Struthio camelus: one gene and its partner. The protein of the gene in region 2 interacts with the protein of the main gene of each other region in a biochemical or structural test. Links are inferred from orthologs where the notes say so. Each region holds a gene or a part of one and is shown on either strand. Other genes may lie near its edges.

Region 1 (7,253 bases), on a different chromosome or scaffold from region 2:
CGCGCCCGGGCCGGCCGCCGCCGTAGGGCGAGCGCAGCGAGAAGTCGATGTGCTTCTGCGAGTCCAGGCGCACGATGAACGACGGGATGTTCACCACCTGCTTGCGGACCCTGCGGGGCGCCCGGGGGGCTCAAACCCACCCCGCCGCGGGGCGCCGGGCCGCCCCCGGGGGGCGCAGCGACCCCAAACCGCCCCCAACGGGGAGTCGGGCCGCCCCCGGGGGGCAGAGTGACCCCAAACAGGGAGCCGGGCCGCCCCCGGGGGGCGCAGCAACCCCAAACCGCCCCCAACGGGGAGCCGGGCCGCCCCCGGGGGGCACAGCGACCCCAAACCGCCCCAAAAATAGGATGAGACCACCCTCAGGGCTCAAACAGCCCCCAAACAACCCTAAACAGCCCCGAAAACAGGATGAGGTCGGCCCCAGGGAGCCCTCAGGGCTTGAACTGCCCTCAAAGAGCCCTCAACAGCCCCACAAACAGGGGGAAGAAGCCCCCCAAGGCTGAAAAAGCCACTAAGAAACCCAAAAGAGCCCCAAAAACGGGATGAAGCAGCCCCCAAAGATCCTGCGAGGGAACCGGGGCCGAAATTGTGATGAAACACCCCAAAACGGCCCCAAAACCAGGGGGAAGCAGCCCCCGAGGATCCTGCGAGGGAACCAGGGCCGAAATTGTGATGAAACACCCCAAAACGGCCCCAAAACCAGGGGGAAGCAGCCCCCGAGGATCCTGCGAGGGAACCAGGGCCGAAATTGTGATGAAACACCCCAAAACGGCCCCAAAACCAGGGGGAAGCAGCCCCCGAGGATCCTGCGAGGGAACCAGGGCCGAAATTGTGATGAAACACCCCAAAACGGCCCCAAAACCAGGGGGAAGCAGCCCCCGAGGATCCTGCGAGGGAACCGGGGCTGAAATCGCAATGAAACACCCCAAAACGGCCCCAAAACCAGGGGGAAGCAGCCCCCGAGGATCCTGCGAGGGAACCAGGGACCAAAATCGCAATGAAACACCCCAAAACGGCCCCAAAACCAGGGGGAAGCAGCCCCCGAGGATCCTGCGAGGGAACCGGGGCTGAAATCGCAATGAAACACCCCAAAACGGCCCCAAAACCAGGGGGAAGCAGCCCCCGAGGATCCTGCGAGGGAACCAGGGACCAAAATCGCAAGGAAACACCCCAAAACGGCCCCCCCCGAAAGCGAGGCGAAGCCGGGAGGTTACCTGCGGCTCGGCCCCCCCCCTTCGCAAGGTGTACGGCGGCGCCGCAGTGAGCCTTGCCGACCTCCCAGCTCTACCCGGGCGAGGGGCCCCGGCGTCCGGGCGGCACCCACCGGATGTGCCGCTGGCGGATGAGCACCCGGGCGTGGTGGATGGACTTGGCCAAGCCCAGCTTGAAGACCTGCGTCTGCAGGCGCCGCTCCAGGAAGTCCTCGATCTTCAGCCCCAGGATGTAGTCGAGCTTCATCTTGCCCTCGTCCAGCACGCCGATGCGCACCAGGCGCCGCAGCAGCGCGTTGCCTGCGGAGGCGGATGTGGGGGGGGGAAGGGGCTGTCGGATCCCCTCCCCATCCCCCCGAAAAGGCCCCCCCCGGGGGCGGCCGCTCACCCTCGAAGAGGCGCCGCGGGTCCTTCTCGTCCAGCGTCAGCAGCTCCCGGGCCGCCTTGCGGATCTTGGCCAGGGTGAACTTCACCCTCCAGACCTCCCGCTTGTTCCTCAGCCCGTATTCGCCTGGCGGAGTAGCACCGCCGGCGTGGGGGGCGGTCAGCGAGGCTTCGGACCCCCCTCTCCACCCCCCCCCAAACCCGTGCGGTGGGTTAGGGGGGTGTTGAGGGGTCTCGTACCCCCCCCCAAAACCCAGAGGCGGAGGACCCCACCTCCGCTCCCGCACTCACCGATGAGCTTCAGCTCCTGGTCGAGCCGGGACTTCTCGAAGGGGCGCCGGGGGGTGACGTAGGTTTTTCGGCAGACCCAGCTCCGGGCGACCGGCATGGTGGCCGAGGGGGCCTGGAGGAGGAGGGGGGGGGAGGGATGGATACCCCCCCCCAAAATGGGTTGGGGCCCCGCCTTGTGTTCAGGATCTCCTCTACATTAACCACGCACCCCAAAACAGAGCCCCGGGGGGGGACACCGGCATCCCCGGGGGGGGGGCGGGCACCCCCCAAACAGAGCCCCGGGGGGGGGCACCGGCATCCCCGGGGGGGGGCGGGCACCCCCCAAATAGAGCCCCGGGGGGGGGCACCGGCATCCCCGGGGGGGGGGCGGGCACCCCCCAAATAGAGCCCCGGGGGGGGGCACCGGCATCCCCGGGGGGGGCGGGCACCCCCCAAATAGAGCCCCGGGGGGGGGCACCGGCATCCCCGGGGGGGGGGCGGGCACCCCCCAAATAGAGCCCCGGGGGGGGCACCGGCATCCCCGGGGGGGGCGGGCACCCCCCAAACAGAGCCCCGGGGGGGCTCTCACCCCCTCAAACATCTCCATTACAGCAATGCCAAGGGCTCAGCCCACCGGGGGGGCCCAAAAGCGAGCCCAGGGCAATAACGGGGTCTCAGCCCCCCCCCATCCCGGGGGGGGTGCCGGGTCGCCCCCAAACTGCGCTCCACCCCCCCCCCCTTGGCGGGAGGGGGGGGCACCACGTGGAGTCTTTCTGCGCATGCGCGGAGCGCCCGTGTCAGTTCCCCCCCCCCGCGCCTGCGCAGCTGCGGCCTCGCCACACGGCGGACTCCCAACCGCGCATGCGCAGAGCGGACGCGGGAGCAACACACACACACACACTCCCCCCCCCCGGTAGCCCCACGGCCCTGCCCGGTCCCCGCCGCCCCCCCCCCCAAAACCCCAACGGTCCGGCCTAACCCGGTCCGGCCCCCGGCACCTCTCCGGGGCTGCGGCCGCCCGCCCGCCCCGCCGGGCCCGCCCGGGCCTCACCTCGCTGCCCCGGCGCCGCCGCAAAAGGAGGAGGCCGCCCCACAGCGGCGCTTTATATAGGGCGGCCGGCAGAGCCCCGCCCCCCCTCGGCGGCGGCAGCCAATGGCCGCGCAGCAGGCGAGGCGCGCCGGCCAATGAGAGAGAGCGGTGGCACTGGCCAATGTCCGGGCGGTGTTTGAGCATAGAGTGGGTAGAGCGGCTCCAGGGAGGGCGGCGCCATTGTTCCGGGAGGGAGGGGCGCGGGAGTGGGGGTACTCGGCGCTGCGCAGCGCCCGGTGCGAAGCGGGGCCACCCCGTCCCACGCGTGTCCCCAGGTCCCCGCGTGCCGCTCGGGCACGCTACACGTGCCGTGCTGCGTGTCATCGGCGTGTCCCTGTCCGCCGGCCCACGCGTGTTCCCCTCGCCCCGGGTCCCGTCCGCCTGTCCCGGTGTGTCCCCCGCCTGCGTGTCCACGCGTGTCTCTGTGGTTCCATGCGTGTCCTTGCATGTCCCCGTCTGCGTGTTCCTCCATGTATGTCACTGTGTGTCCCCTGTGTGTCCCTACGCACCCCTGCGTGTCCCCTGTCTGTATGTCCACACGTGTCCCCTGTCTGCACGTCCCTACGTGTTCACGCGTGTCCCTGCGTGTTCTCTGTTGGCGTGTCGCTGTGCATCCGTGTGCGTCGCTGCGTGTGTCCCTGTCTGCGTGTCCCTGCGTGTTCCTGTGTCCTGTCTGTGGGTCCTCTGTCCCCACGTCCGCGCGCATCCCTGCGTGTCCACGCGTGTCCCTGCATCTCCACCCATGTCCACGTGTCCCTGCGTGTTCTCTGCCTGTGCGTCCCTGTGTATCCGTGTATGTCACTGCGTGTGGCCCTGTCTGCGTGTCCACGCGGGTCCCTTGTCTGTGTCCCCATGTGTCCCTGCGTGTCGCTGCACGTGTCCCGTCTGCGTGTCCACACGTGTCCCTGCACGTTCTCTCCCTGCGTGTCCTGCATGTTCATGAATGTCGCCGTGTGTGTCCCGTCAGCATGTCCACGCGTGTCCTGCGTGTCCCTGCACGTGTCCCCCGTCCATGCGTGTCCACACGTGTCCCTGCGTGTCCCTGCATGTGTCCCGTCTGCATGTCCATGCGCGTCCTGCGTGTTGCTGTGTGAGTCCCCTGTCCGTGCGTGTCCACGCGTGTCCCTGCACGTGTCCCCTGTCCGCGTGTCCCCTGTCCACGTGTCCCTGCGTGTTGCTCCGTGTCCTGTCTGCAGGTCCCCGTCTACGTGTCCATGCGCATCCCTGCGTGTCCGCGCGTGTTCTCTGCCCGTTCACGCGTGTCCTTGCGTGTTCTCTCCCGCGTGTCCCTGCGCGTCCCCTGTCCACGCCTCCCCCGTGTCCCCGGTCGCGCCCCCTGCCCGCCTGTCCACGCGTGTCCCCCCCCCCGCGCATCCCTCCTTCCCCCCCCCCCGCCCCGCGGTACCCAGCCCCGTCGCCATGGCGACCCTGCATCCCTCACCCCGCCGTGACGGACGGCCGCCGCGGCCAATGGGAGGCGGCGCCCGGCGGGGGCGGGGCGGGGCGGGGCCGGGGAGGGGGGGGGGGCAGCAGCAGCATCCTCCCGCCCGGCCGCGCCGGCGGCTCCTGGGCGCCTCCGCTATTGCCCCCCCGCATCGCTACAGCCCCCCCACCCTGCTATTTACCCCCCCGCCCTGCTATTTACCCCCCCGCCCTGTTATTGCCCCCCTTATTGCCCCCATCTCCTTTATCCTCTCCCTGTTGCCCCAGCCCCCTTTATTGCCCCCCACCCCCCTTTATTGCCCCCACCCCCCCTTATAGCCCCCATCCCCCTTTCTTGCTCCCTCATCCCCCTTTCTTGCCCCCCCAACCCCTTTTCTTGCCCCCCCCCCGGCCCCTCTCCTGCCTGCCGGGATGCGGGCGGCGGCCGCGGCCCCCCCCGGCCCCCCGCCTGCCCCCCCCGGCCCCCCCCCGCGCTAGGGGCGCTGATGCCGAGCGGGGCGCCGGGATGCGCCGCCCGGGGCCCCCCCCGCTGCTGGCCGCCGCCGCCGCCGCCGCCGCCATGGCCTCGCTCGGGCCCCACGGCGCCCTGGGGGCGCCCGCCCCCCGCGGTGAGTGTCCCCGGCCCCTCGGCCGTCCCCCCCCCCTCCATCCATCCGTCCCTCCCTCCGTCCGTCCGTCCCTCCGTCCCGTCATCCACCCCTCCATCCCCGCATCCCTCTGTCCAACCCGTCCCTCCGGCCGCCCCATCCCTCCGGCCCCGCCGGCCCTCCGTTGTCACCGCCCCCCTCCCGTCCCCCCCCGCCCCACCACCCCTCCGTTGTCCCCATCCCTCCGGCCCCCGGGCCCTGCATCCCTCCGTTGTCCCCTTCCCTCCGTCCCTCCATCCCTCCGTTGTCACCATCCCGCCGTTGTCACCATCCCGCCGTTGTCACCATCCCTCCATCCCTCCGTTGTCCCCTTCCTTCCGTCCCTGCGTCCCTCCGCTCTCCCCATCCCTCCATCCCGCCGTTGTCACCATCCCGCCGTTGTCACCATCCCTCCGTTGTCCCCTTCCCTCCGTTGTCACCATCCCTCCGTTGTCCCCTTCCCTCCATCCCTCCGTTGTCCCCTTCCCTCCGTTGTCACCATCCTGCTGTTGTCATCATCCCTCCATCCCCTGCTCCCTCCATCCCGCCGTTGTCCCCATCCCGCCGTTGTCCCCATCCCTCCATCCCTGTGGCCTTGCCGGGGGCGGGGGGGGGCAGCTGGGGAAGGACCCAGGCGTTCGGGGCCCCCCTCACCCCACTGGGGGGGTAGGATTGGGGGGGAGGGGGCTGAGCCCCCCCCTGCAGGGTCCTTGGGGAGGGGGAACAGCCCCCAGGAGGGGGCCCTGAATCAGCCGCCCGGGACCCCTCAGCCCCATGGAACCCCTCAGACCCCCCCAAAATCAGCCCCATGGACCCCCCAGCCCCATGAACCCCCCCAATCCCCCCCAAATCAGCCCCATGGACCCCCCCAGCCCCATGAACCCCCCAATCCCCCCCAAATCAGCCCCATGGACCCCCCCAGCCCCATGAACCCCCCCAATCTCCCCCAAATCAGCCCCATGGACCCCCCCAGCCCCATGAACCCCCCCAATCTCCCCCAAATCAGCCCCATGGACCCCCCCAGCCCCATGAACCCCCCCAAATCAGCCCCATGGACCCCCCTGCTCCCCCAAATCAGCCCCATGGATCCCCCAAGCCCTATGGACCCCCCAAGACCCCCCCAATGAGCCCCATGCACCTCCCAGCCCCATGGACCCCCCCAGACCCCCCCAATGAGCCCCATGCACCTCCCAGCCCCATGGATCCCCCCCAGACCCCCCCAATGAGCCCCATGCACCTCCTAGCCCCATGGACCCCCCCCAGACCCCCCCAATGAGCCCCATGCACCTCCCAGCCCTATGGACCCCCCCAGACCTCCCCAAATCAGCCCCGCAGCCCCCTCTAGCCCCACCGTCCCCCCCAGCATTGCCCCCCCCCAATGAGCCTCGGTGCCCGCAGGGAGCCTGCCGCCAGGCCGGGTGCCCCTGGCCCCCCCCTACGCCGTGGTGCTCATTTCCTGCTCCGGCCTCCTGGCCTTCGTCCTCCTCCTCCTCACCTGCCTCTGCTGCAAGCGGGGCGACGTCGGCTTCAAGGTGGCGGCGGGCACCCAACGGGGGCTCGGGGGGGGGGCTTGTGGGTGCTCTAGGTCGCTCAACGAGGGCTCAGGATGGTTCAAGGAGGGGGTTCTAGGTCACCCAACAGTTTGGGGGGACCCAACAGTGGTTGGGGAGGGTCTTATGGGCTTTCTGGGTTCCTCAAGGGGGGCTTGGGATCGTTCAAGGGGGAGAGGGTTCTAGGTCATTCATCAGTTTGGAGGGACTCTATGGGTGCTCAAGGGCACCCAGCAGGGGCTTGGGAGGGGGCCTATGGATGCTCTGGGTCACCCAGTGGGCTCTTGGGGTGGTTCAAGGGGGTTCTAGATCACCCAACAGCTCAAGGTGATCCTGTAGGCCCTCTAGGTCATCCAGTGGCTGCTCAGGGTGGGGATCTATGGGGCTTTATGTCACCCCACAGCTCGAGGGGACCCCATGGGTGCTCAAGAGCACCCAACAGGGGCTAGAGAGGGGGGCCTGTGGGTGTTCTCAGTCACTCAATGTGGGCTTGGGGTGGTTCAAGGAGCGTTCTAGGTTACCCAACAGCTAAAGGGGACCCTGCGGGTGCTTGTAGGCACCTAAAAGGGGCTTGGAAGGGGTCCTATGGGCGTTCCAGGTCACCCAAGGGGGAATTGGGACAGTTTGAGGGGGGTTCTAGGTCACCTAAGAGCTCGGGGGTGGGGGATGCTGGGATGCT
Region 2 (7,846 bases):
GAAGAAAAAAGCCCAGGTCCTCAAAGGGTACTTTGGCACTCCAGCACCTAACTCAGCCTATATTTTGGCACTAAGATATTCCCTAAAAGGCCTTGGGAGAAGTAGCCATGACTGAAATGTAAAGACTACAAGTCTTTGTCCCCCTGCGATTCCAAGACATGAACCGGCCCTCAAGGATAGGTGCAGGAAAAGACGGACCGCACAGCCCAATTCAAAGTTTGGTGATCAGATACCTCACCTGGATTCCCGTCCTTACTCTAGCAGATTCACAGTAAGATTTGACTCTCCATCTCCCACAGTCTAGGAAACCGTCAGTTACTAAGTATTTTGGAACCTCCACTAACACTGATCTACTCTGTATAAAAATATTTACTGGAAGAAGAAATTCATACTTCAGTTTCCCACATCCCAGCTAAAAGGCCAAATCACTGGGCTATATAGTCCTGTAAGACTTTCTCCTTTAGCTTGGAAAGCCAGGGAAGGCCAGCTAACCAACAGCAGAAACCTAGATGCAAGCTTGACTCGCTCTCCAGCACACAGCGAGAAACTGATTGGAGAATTTAAATCCCAATTCTGCTATCATACACCACATACCTTCCCAAAGAGCTCATTTAGGTTTCAATTTTTTTTCATTTGGGTTACAATTTTTTCCTCTTTCTTCATCTAACATTGCATGGTTGGAAAGCTCAGCTCCAAGCTCAGTCCTCTGTCTACTCAAGTAAGAAGGCTATTTTCCAAGAATGAGGTAGCAACGATTCCCTCAAAACCTCGTGAAGAGAACAGCTCCATGAAGCCTGCACAAAATGATAGAATATTAAAATCTCACTCTTGCAGCAAGGTTGGCCTTCCAGTATAGCCATTATATCAGGCATGCAGTGTCTTCATTCACTAATTATCTGTTCAAAATGTGCAACTATGAATTAAAACAGCACCTAATGTGAGCATAAGCTTCTTCCAGAGGTGTTTCCACAATCATTAAAATACATTTTTTCCCCATAAATTTCATTACAGAATTGCAGTCAGCTACTGCTTTTAGGAAAATCAGCCTAAGTCCAGTTTTCAGTGACCTACTTCTAAGGCAATATTTTAAGAATAAAATTAATGAGACAAAAGTTGTCTAAAAAAACCCAATAAACTCCATTTGGCATATCATTAAAAGCCTTGAATAAGAAAATCCAGGATCAACTAAAATTCAGCAGTTTTTTTGCCAAGAAGCACATAATAAATACAAGCAGATAAGTAGTTAAAAAGATGTGAAGATCTGTCTGTGTCAAAAATCCCTCCTGACCAACTGCATATTTGGGCAAAGACATCTGAAACAGTTCTACAACTGAAAAGCCAAAAACCCATCATTTTGTCACCATTTAACACTTCTCTTAAGCCAGAAGTTCCCAGCAAGCACATTACTCGGAAAAATCAAAAAGTCTAACTCAGACTTCTGTCTTTAAGTCAATAATAAGCTAAGCGCTGCGCTGGCCTATGTCACTGTTACAACTGTCCAAATTGTAGGCCAAAGAAGTGACCGACTGAGAACATATGAAATGCAGGCCTAAAATTCTATTTTATCAATACCACAACCAGAGCACAAGAACTACACAGAGCTCCTACTTTTAGTTAAGCTCAGCAGTCACCTGCTAACGTCAAAAGCTTTCAAGCTGCTTTAAAGCCACCAAAATTTTAGGCCAAATCTCAGAGTAACAGCAGGAGCTCTACACCAGTTACAGCAGTTTGCTTCCATCCTGCCCAAGAATTTGGCTGTATATGTAGCATTTGCTGTGACATAAATATATTTGCCCTGAAAAACAGCAAAGCCTACTCTGACCCTGTTGCAGAGCAGAAAGCAGTCTCAGTCCGTAGAAGATCCTAAGTCCAGATCTGAATACTACTGTCATTTTTCATCTTTCCTAACACAGTTTTAGCTTTTATGCGAGACGGTATCAGGCTCTTCTCTCACTTAATAACCTTTCAAACACAATAACGATGAACTTCTCCACGAAGAAAAGGTACACCCACAGTACTAGCCCTACATACTATTACCTCTGCAAGGCATTCAAAGCTAAACATCTGTCTGCGGTAGCTAGAGCACATCTGTTCAGGAGGCCACCAAAACTGCTCAGTTCTTTACGGTTTGACTCATTAGTTCTAATTGCATACTAATTACATACTCCAGAACTGCTCCTCGCTACCCTCTTCAACAAGCCCTGATGTATTCTCATTGGTAATACATGCAGTATCTCAGATTAGGCCAAAGTAGGGCTTACAGAGCACTTTAGCTATCTAGAGAAGCATTTTTTTCATTTAGAAGAACACCGAGGAGCGCTGCTGCCCGTAACTGAGCAGCTGGCCATACCTGACTGCAGCAGAGCACTAGCTATACCTCCCCGCTTAACGCAAGAAAATCAGCGCAGAGGACACAGGCCACGCGAACCTAAGCAGCCCCAGGAAAGCGGCAGGCCACGCCGCAATCGTGTTTGCGATTCAAGGCGAGTTCCTAAATCGAAAAGCGCTCTGCACGCGAGTCACGGCAGGACAGGCGTCATTTGCCGAGCTGAAAACCAGCGCAGCCAGAGATAAGAGGCGGCAGCCCCGCGTTACTTCGGACACGGCCGGGGACCCGCTGGGCCCGGGGGAGGCACAAACCACCCAAATCAGGAGCGGTGCCAGCACCGGGCACGCAAGCGCGCCGCAACTGCGAGCGAGCCCTCCCGGTAATCTTCGCCATCACCATTAGCCACGGGCAGCTCCCGTTGATCCGCACGGCCCCTCGCCTCCCCGACAAAAGGAGGCCGGAGGGCGGCGGGGCGGGGGGCCCCCCCGGCTCTGCTCCGCTCTCTCTCCCTCCCGGCGGAGCGGCACCGGGAAGCGCATTAGGTAACCGCCGCGCAGGGTCTGATGCAATAGCTGTACGTGCACCACCGGTTTTCGGGTTTCATCTCCCGCCGGGCGCGGGGCCGCGGCCCGGGGAGGCCGAGCAGGGATACAGGTCAGGTCCAAGTCGAAGCCATCCTCCTGGTAGCGCCTTTTGTTCCTGCTGACGATCTCTTTGATGATGGCGGTCATGTCTAGGAGCCGGGGGCCGCTCCGGGACAGCGCGCAGAGGCCGGCAGGAGGCGGCGGCGGCGGCGGGGCGCGGGGCCGGCGGCTGCCGGGCGGCCCCGGGCGCGGGGCCTGCTGCTCCGGCGGCTCAGCCCGAGGCCCCGCGGCGGGCGGCGGGGGCGCAGGCGGGCCCGCCTCCCCCCGCGGCGGCGGCGGCTCCCGGCGGCGGCGGCTGCCCCCTCCTCCTCCTCCTCGTCCTGCCGCCGCTGCGCCGAGCGGGGCGAGAGCGGCGGCGGCGGCCGAGCAGGGAGGGCTGAGAGCCGGGCCGAGTCCCTGAGGGTGCTGCCGCCGCCGCCGCCGCCGTCTTTGAGGCGAGCGCGGCGGAGGCGGAGAGAGCAGCTCTCCGGCGCTCCGGGCCCCAGCAATGGTGACAGCGGCGCGGGGCGCCCCCCCGGCCCGGCCCCGCTCCGCCCCGCTCCCCGCCCGGGGCGGCGGCGGCGGACCCGGGGCCGCGCGGTGGGGCCGCGCAGCCGGGCGGGAGGGCGGGCGAGCGCTCCCCGGCAGGCGGCGGCGGGGCGGGCGGGCGGCGGTGGCGGCGGGCGGCGCGACTCAGGGCGTGCGGGGCTCCGGCCCGGCCTGGCTCATCTCCCCCGGCCTCGTCCGCGCCCAGCAGCGCCGCGCCAGCGCTAGACTCCCATCATGGCTGCAACTTCCGAGAGGGGAGAAAGCGCTGGCCCCGCCCCCTCCGCCGCCGCCTCCGCCGGCGCGAGAAAGTAGTCCCGCCACATCACCGCCGCCGCCCGCCCCGCCCCCCCCCTCCCCGCTCCGCCGCCGCGCCCCGCCGCCGCCGCCGCCCGCCCGCCCGCTCCCCGCCCCCCCACCCCACCACCACCACCGCAGCCCTGCGGGGGCGAGGCCGCGGCCCGGCGGAGGGATACGGGCGGCTCACATCGCCGAGCGGCGGGGGAGGGGGGGCGCGCTGGGAAGGGGGGGAGGTCACGTGGGCGCCGAGCGGCGGGGCTGCGGGAGGTCACGTGGGCGCGGCGCCGCGCTCGCGGCGGCCCCCCCCCCCCCCGCTCCGCGGGCGGAAGTGGCCGGGCCGCGGAGGTGAGCGAGCGGCGCGGCGCCGCCTCCGGCCCGGGCGGGGGGCGGGGGGGGCAGCGCCGCGGCCTGGCTCCCCTAGCCGGGACAAACGGGCTTTGGGCCGCTGCCGTGGCGGCGGGGACGAGCCTCGAGGCCCCGCTGCCCCTCGAGGAGCGGGGGCGGCGGTGCGGGGAGGGGGGGGGCGTGACCGCCGGCGGGGAAAGGAGGTGGGAGACGGCGGCCGCGGGTGACTGGGGCGCGCGGGGGCGGCCGCCGTGGGGTGGGGGGGGCCGCCGTGGGGTGGGGGGGGTACGCGGACAGCCGAAAAGACTCGTTTTCTCCTCTGGCTGTGGCCGGTGCTCGTGTAATTTATTGCCACGTTAAAGACGCTGGGAGCTTGCTCGGGAGCTGCCGTCCTCCACCCGCGGCAGTAGTGTGTGGGCACCTGCTGCCCCCTGCAGCCACCGAGGTCCCAGGGGAGAGGTTTTTGGCCGAGCGGTCTTGGCCACCTGGGGTAGGTACTTCACGCAGGGCTCTGGCATCTGAGCGAGCAGGTGGGAACAGAAAGTGCCCTTCTGGGCCACAGCAGTGTTACTTCTCCAATAGCGGGAACGCCCTTTTGGAAGAGGGTGCAAGCTGGGGTGCTTTCTGTGCTCTGCGTGTGCGGTTGTTGAATTCGGTCTGCCAGAGGGGACGTCTCTGCTTATTTCCCTTAGCATCCGTTGGTGGCCGTGTTCTGTGCGAGTTTGTCTTATCCCTTTTTGATGCTGTTGATCCTGTCTGCCTCCCCCAGCTCCAGTGGCAGCAAGGTCCAGAAGCTCGCTCCCTGCTGCATAAAGAAGTACTTTTTTATCCGTTTTAAACTGATCTCCTATTAGTTTCATTGCAAGGCCTTTTGTTCTAGTACTGCAGAATATGGTGAGTGAGCCGAGTAATACGTGCAGCTTATCCACCACCTTGATGATCAGGTAAACCTCACTTGTAAAGGCCCCCCAGCCCCACGCCCTGGCTGATCAAAATTGATTATCCTGACAGGTGACAAGTGCTGTCTCTAAATCTCCAAACCAGCCTTCACTGGAATGGGACCATTCCTTTTACAGCAACTTTTACAGATAAACACCATCACATCATAAGTGTCTTCACGCTCCGGTCTGAAAACTGCTTTATTAAGGTAGCGAGCATTGCTCATGTTAATGATTTGCAGAACAGTGACTATCAAGCTGCCCATCCCAAGCTGGACTTCTGAGTATGAAAGCTGGCTGGAGTCTCAGTTAACTATCAGTTTTTCCATCGGAGTTGATATGACTATGGCTTTTTCTTTTGTGCAGACAAGTGAAATGTTAGCCTGTTGGGGTAATACAAAACAACATACTTTAAGGCAACTTAGAATGCATGACTTTACATGAAGCGTCAGGAACGGAAACTGCTGGAGATGGGCATTTGCCACAAATATTGAGGGAACAGAGGAGACCCTGACAGATAATACCTTAGAAGAAACAGGGTTACTTGGTAGAAGTAAATTTGCTTCTCTCAAAAACATTGTCTTCACAACGTTCTTTTGGTGAACGGTAGGTAACTTGAGGGATATTCCATGCACATCAAAGACAATATACCTTTGAAGAAAGCCTGTTTAAAAGGAAGGAGAAAACAGCTGTTAGCTTTATAAAGGAGTGATGGACATCTCCAGAAATCCACAAGGAATAAAAAGAAAAGGGAAGAGAAAACGCTTCCGCTGTAACTAGAAAAGAGACATTTTGGAAAGAACTGGCCTCATGGGAAGAAGAGAACCTGTGCATTCCTTCCTCTTCTCTCTTTGAAAAACGGATGATATAAACCAGACAGAAATCTCCCTAAAGAACAGATCCTGGTTCTTAGTTCATAGACATCAGTTAAATGTTTCTGAGGCTGGCCGCAAAAGATACCTTGCCTGAGAAAGGCAAGGTATCACAGTGAAGACAGCACTCCCAGGAACACCAGCAGGAAACTTTTACATGGTTCACTTAGTAATTGCATTACCTAACGAAGGGTTATCAAATACATTTGAGCAGGAAACTTACGAGTAAAATCATAACGCCTCTCTTGCATAGTGGTTAGATACTGTGGAAAATTTATTGGTAAGCAACATAGTCAACTAGGAAAGATGGGATAAAACATTCTCTCTCTCTGTATAAAAAGATAATAAATAGAAATTTTTATACATATGTAAGACAATACTTTCTGAAACTGTTTCCGTTCTGAGGAACAGCAAACAGGAATTCATGTTTCAGATACTCCAAAGGATATGATAAATCTGTTGTCTTGTTCAGTCTTTAAATGACTTTTAAGAGAGGTGCTGAAGTCTAGCTGCAGATGGTTGGAACAGGTAGAGGAATTGAAGCATGAAGTTTTATGTTGTGCTTTTAACAGAGTCAAAATAAATTGGAATGTAGGGTGGAAGGATCTCCTGGGTCGCTGCAGCCTCCAGCCTTTGCAAATGCTATATAATATAATTCCTTTCACAAATGTATCAAGTTTCCTCTTAAGATCTTTTGTTACCATAATTCCCACTGAGAAGCTGTTCCCAGAATGTTCTTCTGATTTTCATGCTAAATATATTTGTGACTGGTTTATATCCATTTGTTCCGGTGCCAGCGTTGGCCTTAAATAGCTCTTACTCCATCATATTTACCCTTTGTGCGTTTACAGATAGAAATGTTGTCCCTCTTAGCCTTCGTCTGACTAGGCTCAGCTAGCTCAGCTCTCCTAACTGTCCGTTCTCCCTCATCTCAGTAGTGGCTTTCTGCTCCAGTTTCAGTTTTACTCATTTCTCTTCAATATACATGACCAGAATGGCATGCAGTGTTCTAGATGGTATCTTGCCAGATCCAAGGACAATGGTATTAATCCCTTCCAAACTCTGCTAGAAACATTGCTCCTAAGACATCTTAGGGCCCTATTTTCCTATTCACACTGGCAGCTCATATTTATTTTGGGATCAACTAGTGTGTACGGTCAGATCATACTGTTCTTTTGCAACCTACAAACGTATGAAGGGAACCCATGAAAAGATTTCACGGCAGCGCCTACTTTTAGACCCCGGACTCAGAGGTTACCCATAGGCAAATATACTTGTGCTTAGCAAATGAAGACCATCTTTTAAAACATTTCCAAAGGTCCTGCAAGTGTAAAGTGTGTCCCTCTAACATCCAGCCACGCTTCCTTGTCTCTAGGAAGTTGATATGGCTTAGCTGAAACTCTTTTGGCTAGCTTCCTGAGTCCAAGTCAGAACAAGACCAAAAAGCAATCTGAGCAGAAAATAGCCTATCAATGGCCATTGTGTCAGCAAGTCGTGAGATAGGTCTTCATCAAGCTATGTGGTAACCATCTTTATCATGACAACCGCTGCTGAAATCCCATTATCCAAGCTGCATGACTATGCCAGGAATTAGTAGGAAGGGGAGAGAAAATAATTATGTCAGTGTTTAAATTCATGCTATGCGTCCATCCTAAACTCTCTCTCGCTCTCTTGGTCAGGTTCCGTTTTAAAAAGTATAGAACAGATCTGAAGAAGATTCGATGAAGGGAAGCATGGATGACCAAAGCTACAGAACGGCTGTTCGGTGAGGAACCGTGAAGTTTGGAACTTTTCATCCTGGCAGAGTTAGCTAGAGATCTAGAAAATCCCAAGTTACTGAAGAGGTTGGACAAAGACTGATTTCTTTGACGTTTCTTCCATACATATAAAATG

Evidence for each region. The genes of interacting proteins can lie anywhere in the genome.
Region 1: the proteins of PTEN (region 2) and RPS9 form a complex in vitro, tested with the Homo sapiens proteins (2 studies listed by BioGRID). The link is inferred for Struthio camelus from reciprocal best matches to the Homo sapiens genes PTEN and RPS9.

The regions. Positions count from the first base shown.
Region 1 is NW_027182668.1:39,742-46,994, forward strand, and holds the start of RPS9 (small ribosomal subunit protein uS4), read right to left. Parts: upstream 3,115-7,253; 5' UTR 3,100-3,114; coding exon 2,917-3,099; intron 1,999-2,916; coding exon 1,887-1,998; intron 1,723-1,886; coding exon 1,600-1,722; intron 1,512-1,599; coding exon 1,325-1,511; exon of another isoform or gene 1,215-1,324; intron 111-1,214; coding exon 1-110. Other genes in the region: serine/threonine-protein kinase LMTK3, read left to right, coding at 4,958-5,006, 6,423-6,556. UniProt on the Homo sapiens protein: Component of the small ribosomal subunit. The ribosome is a large ribonucleoprotein complex responsible for the synthesis of proteins in the cell. Part of the small subunit (SSU) processome, first precursor of the small eukaryotic ribosomal subunit.
Region 2 is NC_090948.1:43,321,190-43,329,035, reverse strand, and holds the start of PTEN (phosphatidylinositol 3,4,5-trisphosphate 3-phosphatase and dual-specificity protein phosphatase PTEN), read right to left. Parts: upstream 3,141-7,846; 5' UTR 3,061-3,140; coding exon 2,982-3,060; intron 1-2,981. UniProt on the Homo sapiens protein: Dual-specificity protein phosphatase, dephosphorylating tyrosine-, serine- and threonine-phosphorylated proteins.